Mus musculus: one gene and its partners. The protein of the gene in region 1 interacts with the protein of each later gene in a pairwise test. Links are inferred from orthologs where the notes say so. Each region holds a gene or a part of one and is shown in the gene's direction. Other genes may lie near its edges.

Region 1 (3,500 bases):
AAGAGGTCATCAGAATTCATGTGAGAGTTCAGTGATTCTCAACCTGTGCATTGAGACCCATTTGCCAAACTTCTGTCTCCAAAATTACTTACATAACGGTATAATTTTATAATTTTATGCTTGGGGGTCACCACAAATGAGGAACTATATTATAGGGTCTAAACAGTAGGAAGGCTCAGAACCACTGGTTTAAGCCATATAATTCCATATTTTTACATATTACTTTGTTTATAAATAATACTGATTACAAACTATTTTCAATTTATTAAAGCCAGTGGTCCAAATATTCTACCATGTAGATATGGTGACACATACATATAGCCCTAACACTCAAGTTCTAATGGGCTGATACAGGAGAATTGTGAGTTCTGAGCTAGCCTAGGTCTTTTTTTTTTTTTTTTAAGATTTATTTATTTATTATATGTAAGTACACTGTAGCTGTCCTCAGATACTCCAGAAGAGGGCATCAGATTTCGTTACGGATGGTTGTGAGCCACCATGTGGTTGCTGGGATTTGAACTCCGGACTTTCAGAAGAGCAGTCAGTGCTCTTAACCACTGAGCCATCTCACCAGCCCCTAGCCTAAGTCTTTTAAAAGATCTTGTCATTAAAAAAATATATATTCTGCAAATATAAAACTGCAAATAACTAGTTCTACCTAAAAAATAATTTATTCTACCTACAAAGACCTTTAAAACTTGTCAAATTTTCTTCTTTTAGATTCATCCTGATTAGTTAGGATGTAATTAATGGAGAATTTGGTGTTCGTTTTAAAACTTCTCTTTCATCCGTACACTCTGATTTTTAAATTTTTTACTGGTGCTACAGAACTCTAGGGATACTACATTGGTTTTATGAATTAGAGACGACATAGCTGGCTGTAATGTGTTTAGCGATTACTAGACATACCATTCAAAAGCAAAGCCATGGCCAGATTCAGAGGAAGAATATGCTACAGGAGAACCAGATGTGAGATTATATCTGCTTTCTGATAGAATTGGGTGAAAGGATAAAGAGTTTAGTGTTAGTGTGTAAAAGTTAGATAAAAGGGAAGGGAGAAACTTAATGAGATGAAGAAAATTTAGTAAAATTGGATAGTTACTAAAATAAATGGCTTTTCAGAATTGTCTTCTACCTCCTTCTCTCCCCCCCACCCCCAGCCTAGATCTTCCTAAAATAACTGGAAAGAGACAGTAGGGTTGGTTTTTTTTTTTTTTAAAGATTTATTTTATTTATATGAGTACACTGTCTCTGTCTTCAGACATACCAGAAGGACATATCAGATTCCATTATAGATGGTTGTGAGCTACCATGTGGTTACTGGGAATTGAACTCAGGACCTCTGGGAGATCAGTGAGTGCTCTTAACTGCTGAGCTAGCCCAAGACAATAGTTGTAACAGAGTTCAGAAAGCAGCCTCTTCCCCGCCCTTCAGATGAGAGTTACTGCCACAGTAAGAACCACATGGTGACGCCGAATTTTAGGAAAGTTAGTGTATGGATTTGGAAAAGGAAAAGTTTTCGTACAGCAAGATGGTTCCAAGGGTGAAGATGCCTGCCTCCAAGGCTGACAACTAAGTTCTATCTCCAGGACTCACGTGGTGAAGAGAGAGCAGACTCCCACAGTTTGCCCTCTGACTTCTTGTGTGCCTCGGGTACCTGCACATGATAAATAAGATCCATACAATTCCCGTGTACTAAGTTTTCAGCTTCTTACCCTTTCTCTTGTAGCAAATCCAGTTTGCTGATGACATGCAAGAGTTCACCAAATTCCCTACTAAGACTGGCCGGAGATCTTTGTCTCGTTCCATCTCACAATCCTCCACAGACAGCTACAGTTCAGGTAGGTATGACTTTGATGTCCCCTCTGTCCCGTCTTATTCACGGGTGCTCTTCACTAATACTTAGAATGTGAGAATCATTCCCAGCAAGACTTGCAGCTGAGGATGCTTTTGTTAAGATGTTCTTTCCCAGGCTGTTTTCTGTGTGGTCTGTGATCATTGCCTAGTTAGTGGCACTGGGAAGTTCCTATATCCACATTTGCAAGGGGGGGAGAATCAGTGGTATTTTTGCTTTCAGAACTGGCATGTAAAAAGAAATTTACTTTTAAACATAAGTTATTTGCATAAAACATACCCTTCCACCCATGTTTTTCTTTTTGTTGCTAAAACAGCTTGAATTATGACAATAAAATTTATATTTTTGTCTCCTTTTATTTATAAGATTACCCTTTATGTTAATATGCCTTTCCCTGTTAATTTCTGGAATGGGAAGATATAAACTATTGTAATGTGACTCCAGCTGTTTCCCTACCCTCCTGTCTTAGCCATCTGTAGTAAGTCAAGTCTTTGTTCTGGTTAAATTGTGCCTATCTCAGCCACAGAGAAGGTATTAAGAAATAACTAGAAAGGTGTTTAGAGGCTGAGATGACTCAGTAAAGTACTTACTCTGCAGGCATAAGGACCTGAGTTCGAGCCACTTAAAAAGCTGGGTGGGCAACCAAAGAATACACATGGAGGGACTCATGGCACTGGCCGCATATGTGGCAGAGGATGGCCTTGTTGGACATCAGTGGGAGGAGAGGCCCTTGGGCCTGAGGGTGTTCAATGCCCCAGTGTAGGGGAGTGCCAGGGTGGGAAGACAGGAGTGGATGGGTGGGTAGGGGGGGATGGGATAGGGTGTTTCCGAAGGGGAGACCTGGAAAAACATTTGAAATGTAAATAAAGAAGATAGCCAATTAAATAATAATGATAAAAAGAAAAATAAAAGCTAGGTGGGGAGGGGGATACATTCTTGCAATCCCAGTACTGGTAAAACAAGCAGATTTCTAGATTAACTGGCTGACCAGCTGCCTGTCCTAGCCTAATCAGTGAGCTCCGGGTCTGGGGATGACCTGTGGCACCTGAGATGAACTGAGGTTGGCCTCTCTGACTTTCCTGTGTGCAGACACAGTCACAGAAGCTTATGAGTCTTAGAAAGGGAACTGAGGAAAACATTTAGAGAGGACTGAGACAACGTCATCATTCAACAGAAGAGATAGTTAAAGAGGAAAGGCTTTAATGTTAATGAGGATTGGTATGACAAGCCCTTCACTGGTTCTTACCAGTAGTATTTGCATTGTTTTATTAAATTTCAAGGGCTGGTTGTGAGGTTTAAGGAGTGTAAAAAAAATTATCAAAGAAAATTGTATCTCTTCTCTGTGACACTGATAATCCAACCAATAAAGGCAGGATAGGCAAACAAGAACAAATGAAGGTAAGCAGGGTAAACTGAAATACACGGTTATATAGATTCTGTGGAGCTGAAGCATGCAAGAAACAATCCCAAATAGGATGGCTAACAAAAATGAAAAGGTATCTGAAGCGACAAACTAAATTAGAGTGGGGTGAGCAGAGCACTTAGAGTAAACAGAGAGGGGACTTTCATGTGGGAAGATTGAGCTTTGGAAGGAGAACAGGTGGAGGAAGTGAAGTTCTCAAAGGTCTTCATGGTCATCTTACAG
Region 2 (3,965 bases), on another chromosome or scaffold:
CGTGCGCCACCATGCCTGGCTATTTATTTATCTATTATTAGTTTGCATGCGTGTGTCTGTGTGTATGTGTCTGTGTGTGTGTTTTTGTGTGTGTGTGTGTGTGTGTGTGTGTGTGTGTGTGTGTCTGCCTGCCTGCCTGTCTGTCTGCTTTCATTTGTGTCTGTGTTGGTTGAGTTTGGGTGTTTTGCTAGAGGGGTCTATGTGGCAGTCAGAAGATGAACTATGGATGGCAGCTCTCGTCCTCCGGTCCCAGAGGTCAAGGCAGGTTACTGGGCTTGGTGGTCTCTGCCTTTACCTGAGGAGCCCAGCTGGCCCTTCCCTGTTACTTTTCAGATAGAGTTTTGCTATGTTGTGTGTTCCTTTTTAAGTGCATAGTCCAGGGTGGCCTAGATGGAAATCATTAGGTAGGCTGGGCTGGGCTTGAACTCCCTGGGATCCGCCTGCCCCAGCCTCCTGAGTACAGGGATAACAGGCATTAGCCACTAGACACAACAAAAGTCTTAATGTTTTTGCAACAAGATGCCCCTTCTCATTTTTACAGGGTCCCCCAAACTGAGTAGTTCTTCCTGACTAAGATGCTCATCCTGACACAGGGGCAGAGGCCTGTCTGTGGATACCTCAGGAATCCTATGTGCTGAAGGATGGCAGGGAGGGGGCGCCAAAACCAACCTGAATTTAACCTTGGTTTCCTGAATTGAACCTCACTTCCTGTCTGACCGTGGTCATATCACTACTAAGTCTTTTTCTTTCAGCAGTGAAAGAGTTAACATATGCAATCCCAGAGGGTCCATGTGACAGTGCATATACAAACTCAGGTAATGGCATTTGATCCTCTTCCTGAAGAGCAGCAATGGTGATAAGATAAACTTCCATTAATAAGTGCAGAGGGTTTGGAGAGCGGGGGATGAGTCATGTCCTCTCCCTCTCCTCACATGTCATCCCCTGACTGTCCCCTCTTCACCCTGTAGACTCTGGCCCTCACTAGGGAAACAAGAACAGGCCTTGTGCCAGGCTGGGATGCGGGTAGCATAGAAGATACTCAGCAGATAAACGTGCCCCTTGCTTGGGCGGCCTTTACCACCGGAGCCAGAGTTAATACCTCACCTCTGTCCAGTCCCCTTTCGCAATCTGGAGCTATGGACCTGGTTACAGATTGACTTCGAACAATGTCTGATGAGTGGAGTAAAGTCCTCCTTGGCCTTGGGAAAGCCCTCTTCTTTTCTCCTCAGAGGTTTCTCAAACTTGTGCCTCAGAGATGAAAACTCCGGAGGACCCCGGGAGCCCAAAGCAGGTGCTGGGGGCATAGCGAAGCTGTGACCTGGGCGAGGGGCACGGCGGGTGGGGGCTGGGGCTGGGGCTGGACTGATCTTTCTGGGAAGGCAGAGACAACATTGCCAAATGACAAAAAGTGACAGTCTTGAGCCTCGAGTGGCACTCGGGGAACGGGGTGGAGGGAAGGGGTGAGGGAACCTTAGGTTTAGGGCCTGGCTGACTTGGGCTTGGAGGTCAGTTAGGGGCTGGGCCTTCTTCTCACCTTGTGGCACCTTCAAGAACCTCTAGGAGATAGAGGTGGGACAGGAGGGGGCTTCTCCACAGTCTAGACCTGCCCAGTCTGATCCCACTCTGGTCTGATACCTTCCCAGTCTCTTGACTTAGGGGCCTCACTAGAAAGCCCTTAAGGGCTCTGGAAGCCAGGACACTGCTTTCATCCCCACAGCAGGGCGTGGGAAGTGGGAAGGACCACTGGGAACCAGCTGGGGAGGGTAGCTGCTGCCGCATCCTGCCCTCACTGAGTTGCTGGGAGACGGCTGTAGCTCCCTTAGTCTAGGCAGCGCGGGCTTTGCCGGTTGGTTCATCGCTCTGCCTTGAGCGGCCGTGGCTCCCTACTTCCCTGAGCAGCATGAGGTCGTGGATTCAGCAGGGACTTCCACCAGGGACCGGCAGGCACCTTTGCCCACGGAGCCCAAGTTTGACATGTTGTACAAGATTGAGGATGTGCCACCATGGTACCTGTGCATCCTGCTGGGCTTCCAGGTGGGTTTTCACAAGACCTCCCCAGCTCTACATGAGCTACTCCCCCGGGATCCCGAGCCACCTCTGATCAGGAAGGTCATTTCAGGCTAGAGAAAGAGACAAGGTCAGCACAGTCACTGTCACCAAACAGCTGTGCCAAAGAAGGTTAAGTGGCCTGGGAGGATTGTGGGTAGCATATGATAGACAGGAACGGTAGGTAGGGCTAACCTGGGGGAGACTGGGCCCCGAGTGGTGGGTGAGCAGTAGTTCTCTGGGAATCCCTTGTCGGGTGTGGTGGGTAATGTCATTTCAAGTAAGCACCCTGTCAGTATGGTCCAGGTTCAGGACACAGACCCGGGTGCCCATGGCCATGAGAGTGCTATGGGGTCACCTCTCGACCGTCTCTCACCCCAGCATTACCTGACGTGCTTCAGTGGCACCATCGCCGTGCCCTTCCTCCTGGCTGAGGCGCTGTGTGTGGGCCGTGACCAGCACATGGTCAGTCAGCTCATTGGTACCATCTTCACCTGTGTGGGTATCACCACTCTCATCCAGACTACAGTGGGCATCCGGTGAGCGGCTCCTCCCCGGCTCCCAAGCACACATACTCGCATGCGAGCATACGGCAGAACAGGTGGGCTGTGACCAGCTGGCTTCTACCCTGTCTGGCTGCCCTGTCTGCCTGCCTAGCCCGAGGGCTAGGTAGCTGGGTTCCTAGGAGCCCTGCGGTTCCCTCCTCTCACTCTGCTCCAAAGGTTTAGAAGGACTGCTTCCTTGCCCACTGTCCATTCCTGTGAGCAGGCCTTTTCAGCATCCATATGTAGACTTGGGGATTCCTAGTCTTGGATGAACAAGTCTGTTGGGTTCAGTGGTGGTAGCTGGGAACAATCGCAGGCAGCCCTCAGATTCAGAAATGGAGCAGTCTGCTTTGGAGCACATGTCTCTTCTTGGCACTGAGGTGGGGGAGCTGAAGGCAAGATGCAGGGTTTGAACTGGAGGATCCCTGAAAATGTGGGGGCGGGACTCCATGTGGGGTCTTAGGGACTTCCCTTTATCCCTTTTCCTCAACCCACTCCACCACTGCTATGTGCCCCGCCTTCCAGGCTGCCGTTGTTCCAGGCCAGTGCCTTTGCCTTTCTGGTTCCAGCCAAGTCAATCCTGGCCTTGGAGAGGTGGAAGTGTCCTTCAGAAGGTGGGTTCAGTTTGCCCATCTGCACTGGTGGAGAGGTCGTGAAGGTCTGGGCAGCTTCCCAGAGTCTAGGCACCAGGGTGTGTTTGTTCATGGCAGTGTGTTCTCTCCATCTGTCTGCAGAAGAGATCTACGGTAACTGGAGTATGCCTCTCAACACCTCCCATATCTGGCATCCTCGTATCCGGGAGGTGGGTGAAGAGATTGGGTTTGAAGGAAGGGCTGGGTGGGCAGGCCACTGCTAAGCTGTATGCAAGGAGGTGGCTGAGGAACTTACATATTGATAATGCCAGGTCAAAGTGACTATAGCTCATTTTGCCTTTTTAGGTCCAGGGTGCAATCATGGTGTCCAGTATGGTGGAGGTGGTGATTGGGCTGATGGGGCTGCCTGGGGCCCTGCTCAGCTACATTGGGCCTCTCACCGTCACCCCCACTGTCTCCCTTATTGGGCTCTCTGTTTTCCAAGCTGCTGGTGACCGAGCTGGCTCTCATTGGGGTATTTCGGCTTGGTGAGCAGGCAACAGGACTATTTTTGCCCAGTCCTAGGCGCTACCCCACATCCCCTTCATTCTTATCCTCTCATCTGTTTCTGGGCCCCAACCTGGCCCACCAGCTATTTTCTTCTTGTGTCTCTGCCTCCAGCTCCATTCTCCTGATAGTCTTGTTCTCCCAGTATCTGCGCAACCTCACCTTCCTGTTACCTGTTTACCGATGGGGCAAGGGTCTCACTCTCTTCCGAGTCCAGATCTTTAAGATGTTTCCG
Region 3 (4,153 bases), on another chromosome or scaffold:
TTTGTATTAGTGCTAGTTATCACTTTAACAGTGCCAATCTCCTATCATAGCTTCCAGATAACTAAAAACTCAGAGTTCCCAGAATGTATACATGGAATACAGTATACATGGAATCCTAAATATTCTGTTAAAATGATTTTTAAAGAAGTTCATCCCCTTTGTTGTTACCTGATTCACAATATTCAGCTTTCGATACCTCAAAAATTAGCTCTAATCTTTTTCTTAACAACTTAAAGAAACACTGCCAAATTCTTGTAGTTCCAATTTTCCCTAACAGCCAACCTGTTGCTAAATGACTATCCAGATGTCTCTGGCTTGTTTGAATACTTTCACTTTACTCCAAGGAACTGGGTTACAGATGTTACTTGAGGATATATGTGCAGTGGCTGGTTCTAATTAGACCAATATTTGGGGGGGAGGGGAGGCGGAGGGGGGGTTTGGTTTCATTTTGACCACTGAATGCAACCATGCTGGTGTTTTTTTAAAAGCATAAAAGTATAGAAGGCAATAATCTCATATGCCTACAAGAAGACGTGAAAAGTACAGAAAATTGATGAATATGAAATATATGGATGCACTGGTCCTTTTACACTTAGACCACCATCCTCACCTCCACCTAAAAACAACCAATCCTCGGTGTAGTGAGTGAAAGAAATCCCCCAATAAAGACATAGCCTTTTTAGAAAACCTTTCTAACTCACTGTAAGCTTTGTTTAAAGTTAATTGCATTTCTCCTTTTCCCTCAAGACTAGAAGTTCACATTTTCTAGACCCTGAAGTTCGTCGGGATTTCTTGTAATATGCTTTCAGTTCTCATAAAACTCGGTCTACAAGACTTCTCTGCCCTGTGGTGCTGTCAGTTGTGTCGCCTCTGCAGCCCTGGCAATGACCTGACAGGTGCCAAGGCCTGTGGCAGAGCAAAGGAGTCCAGCAGCCCCGGGCCAGGCCACTCGAACTCGGCGAGCCTGGTCGGGGAGCGCCGAGGAGGGTGGAGCTGCCCGGCTCCAGCAGAGGAGATCCTACCCGTCAGCTGCAGGGCCGCCGAGCCTCTAAGGGCCTCCGCCCGCACCCGCGGCCTTAGTTACCACCACCGGGGTCCCGCACGGTAGAGGCTCCCACTCCAGCCAGCCCCAGAACAGCAGGCCAGGCCGGGCCGAACCCACCCCGCTTCGGCAGGGGAGACTAGCGAAGCGAGAGGGCAGGCGGGAGCGCCAGCGAACCCAGGCCCAGCGCGGGCAGAGAAGGGCGCAGGGCCGCGAGGGCGGAGCGAGCGGGCTGCCGGCCACTGCGCCGCCAGGGCGTTGGGCGGGGCGTGGGCGGGGCCCGGCCTTCCCGCTCCCGCGGCGCCCTAACTCGGCGGAGCCTCCTTAAAACTCTGCCGTTAAAATGGGGGCGGGTTTTTCAACTCAAAAAGCGCTCAATTTTTTTCTTTTCAAAAAAAGCTGATGAGGTCGGAAAAAAGGGATAAGAAACCGGCACAGTACCTTCAGAGGCAACCGTAGCAGCAGTTGCTTCAGCGGAAAAAGAAGCAAAGGAGGGAGGGAAGGGAAAGATCCTAAAGGAAAGACGCGCAAGTGTCTGTAGCGGAGAAGGGAGCGGCGATCAGAGATTTGGGGGAGTCGGACTACAAAAGAAACTGTCAGCTGCGGCTCGCGACCGGCCGGCGCAGCCTGCCTCGGCTCCGGAACCCAACTGGCTGGCAGCCGCTGTCCTGTCCGCGGCACTGATAGGGGCACAGGCCGGAGGACCGCCAAGAACTAACTGGCCAAGTGGCACCGAGCGCCCGAGCTGCTGGGCGGCCGCCAAGAAGTTGGCGGGACTGGCTGCGCCCGGGATCTGTGGCGACCGCTCCTACTTCCAAAGACCCTTCCCATCATCGGACGCCCCGGGAAAATCTGAAAGGGAGGGAACGACAGCGGCAGAGGCGACGGCCGCCCCTCAGCGAGCGCTTGCAGTGAAGAGCCTGAGCTAGCTCGGTCGTAGGCGGGAAGTTACTGGTGAGCTGGCCGGGTGCAAGAGCGATGCTGCCGCGAGCTACCCCAGCGGCTGGAGCCCCATAGACGCTTCCCCCTTCGCCGTGCACCGTCTTCAGGCTGCCGGGAGTCCCGGGACCCGGCGGGGCCGGCATGACGGGCTTGGCGGGGGTCTGCCGCACACCCACCAGCCTCCGGAGACCCGCGCCCTGCCCGGCTCCCACGGCCTCTGAGGCTCGGCGGGGCTGCGGCAGCTCGGCGGGCGGGCTCCGGAGGCTCTTCTGAAGACGCCGAGCCCGCTAGGGAGTCGTTGAGACCTGAGAGTTGAGGGCTTCAGAGCTGCTGCTCTGGTCTGCCCTCAGCGATCGTCTTTAACCCTCCCGAGCACGTCAGCATCCAGCCAGCGCGGCGCTCTGCTAGCGAGCGAGCAGCACTCTGGACTACCCCCTTCGGCTAGACGGATGGAAAGTGAGCTCTGCGAAGGACCTGACTCTGAAATTCTGCCTCAAATCACCACTGTGAACAAGGGTGGGTTAATACCTTTTCTACTCTCTAATACTTTTTCTTTCGCGGTGTTGTCTGAGCTGACCTAGTCCTTTAAGTCTCCGCAACATCTTCCTCACAGAGCTGTAAAGCTTAGGTACGTGACAGCTCTGCCTACATCTCACGTCCATAGTAATTAATCAAGAACTGCTTCTGTGTATGTATCTCTGTTGAATCGCCAGAATCCTTCTTAGGGGTTAAGCTAAAAAGCTAGAGAAGGAGCCCCTCTCCAATGGGCTCACTTTTGCTGAATAATCACGTGTGAATCGAGGGGCGGGCTTTTGGCAGGCCGACCTTACTAGTATTTACTACCAAGCTCTACTCCAGATTAACCATCCCAGTCCTTCTGTCAGCCTCCGATGCCATCATGCAGCCTGATTAGGAGCAAAGGAAAGGGGAAAAAGAGAAGCAACTAATCGTCTTTTCCCGATCGTCAGGACCCTAAAGAATGGCCGAGCCTTGGGGGAACGAGTTGGCGTCCGCAGCTGCCAGGGGGGACCTAGAGCAACTTACTAGTTTGTTGCAAAATAATGTAAACGTCAACGCTCAAAATGGATTTGGGAGAACTGCGCTGCAGGTTGGTATCCACAGAGGTGGGGAAAACAAGTTAATAAGGTTGCCTGGGTTTCTAAAATGACAGCTTTTAAGTTTGGAGGGGTACAGATCTTCACTGTTTTAAAACCTTCATGGTTGCCATATTTTATATCTTTAAGTGGATCCAACTCCCCAAAATGACGTACTTTGGAGAAACTGGTCAACTCCAATAACATCCTCGATATCAAGAGAATCTTAGGTTTGGTCATAATTTTTGGAATGCTTTTGTGACAATGGAGGTTTTAAAGTATTCTTATCGTCGAAATCTGTTTGTTTTGTGCAGTGTTGTTTTAGATAGCTCTTTAAGCACATTATTATGATTATTATTTCAAGTAAATACACAGCTAATGGTGGTATTCACCTATTTTGATCCTAATAATTGACTTTAAAGTTAATTCTCTTGACGTCTAGGCAGGGTGTTTTACCTTCAGCTGTTTCATGTCTTAACAAACGACCTTTCCTCGCTTGGTATGGGATAGCCTGGGCACCCGGACAGGGTGTACATTTTCACAGTTAATATAATACCTAATCCACCCATTCAGGAGTGAGGAGAAATTAAAAAGTTGAATTTCTAATCAGAGCCGAGTCGTAGTGGTTTTCTTATCCCTGTGGTCATGTAGTGGCATGCTCTAATTCTCAGTAATTAGATTTACAGGCAACGACTGACACATGTCCAGCTGCCAATTATGTACCTGATAATATTTTCCCCTCCAAATGGTATCATGTAACTTTTCTGAAAGCCTTAGAAGCAAAACATGGGGAAAGTGGTCTCCACTGGTTGCTGTTATTGGTGTTCTGATGGTATTCCTGGGAGCTTTCCCGGCCAGAAGCAGCTTTTGAAAAACCACCGGGGCAAGGGCATAAGAGATTTTTGTTTCTGTTTTAAAAAATAGAAATTTAAGTGGCAGGAGATGCCCTGGTGAAGGAAGCTCATTTGGTTTGTATATTTTAAATCAGAATACAGCTGGCCTTACAAAACCCTTCTCTGTTGAGGAAGCTTATGCAGAAATACTAAAATATTTATCTTGATTCAGGTAGATTAAA

Evidence for each region. The genes of interacting proteins can lie anywhere in the genome.
Region 2: the proteins of Ahcyl1 (region 1) and Slc23a1 interact in binary tests that used the Homo sapiens proteins (3 or more experiments, as listed by UniProt). The two-hybrid records come from large-scale screens. The link is inferred for Mus musculus from reciprocal best matches to the Homo sapiens genes AHCYL1 and SLC23A1.
Region 3: the proteins of Ahcyl1 (region 1) and Cdkn2c interact in binary tests that used the Homo sapiens proteins (3 or more experiments, as listed by UniProt). The two-hybrid records come from large-scale screens. The link is inferred for Mus musculus from reciprocal best matches to the Homo sapiens genes AHCYL1 and CDKN2C.

Annotation. Positions count from the first base shown.
Region 1 is NC_000069.6:107,676,061-107,679,560, reverse strand, and holds part of Ahcyl1 (S-adenosylhomocysteine hydrolase-like protein 1), read left to right. Parts: exon of another isoform or gene 1-1,272; intron 1,273-1,729; coding exon 1,730-1,841; intron 1,842-3,500. UniProt on the Homo sapiens protein: Multifaceted cellular regulator which coordinates several essential cellular functions including regulation of epithelial HCO3(-) and fluid secretion, mRNA processing and DNA replication.
Region 2 is NC_000084.6:35,624,428-35,628,392, reverse strand, and holds the start of Slc23a1 (solute carrier family 23 member 1), read left to right. Parts: upstream 1-1,165; 5' UTR 1,166-1,229; coding exon of another isoform or gene 1,230-1,255; coding exon 1,256-1,291; intron 1,292-1,899; coding exon 1,900-2,034; intron 2,035-2,427; coding exon 2,428-2,585; intron 2,586-3,116; coding exon 3,117-3,205; intron 3,206-3,325; coding exon 3,326-3,393; intron 3,394-3,529; coding exon 3,530-3,711; intron 3,712-3,844; coding exon 3,845-3,965.
Region 3 is NC_000070.6:109,663,957-109,668,109, reverse strand, and holds the start of Cdkn2c (cyclin-dependent kinase 4 inhibitor C), read left to right. Parts: upstream 1-1,353; 5' UTR 1,354-2,500; intron 2,501-2,737; exon of another isoform or gene 2,738-2,952; 5' UTR 2,953-2,963; coding exon 2,964-3,092; intron 3,093-4,153. UniProt on the Homo sapiens protein: Interacts strongly with CDK6, weakly with CDK4. Inhibits cell growth and proliferation with a correlated dependence on endogenous retinoblastoma protein RB.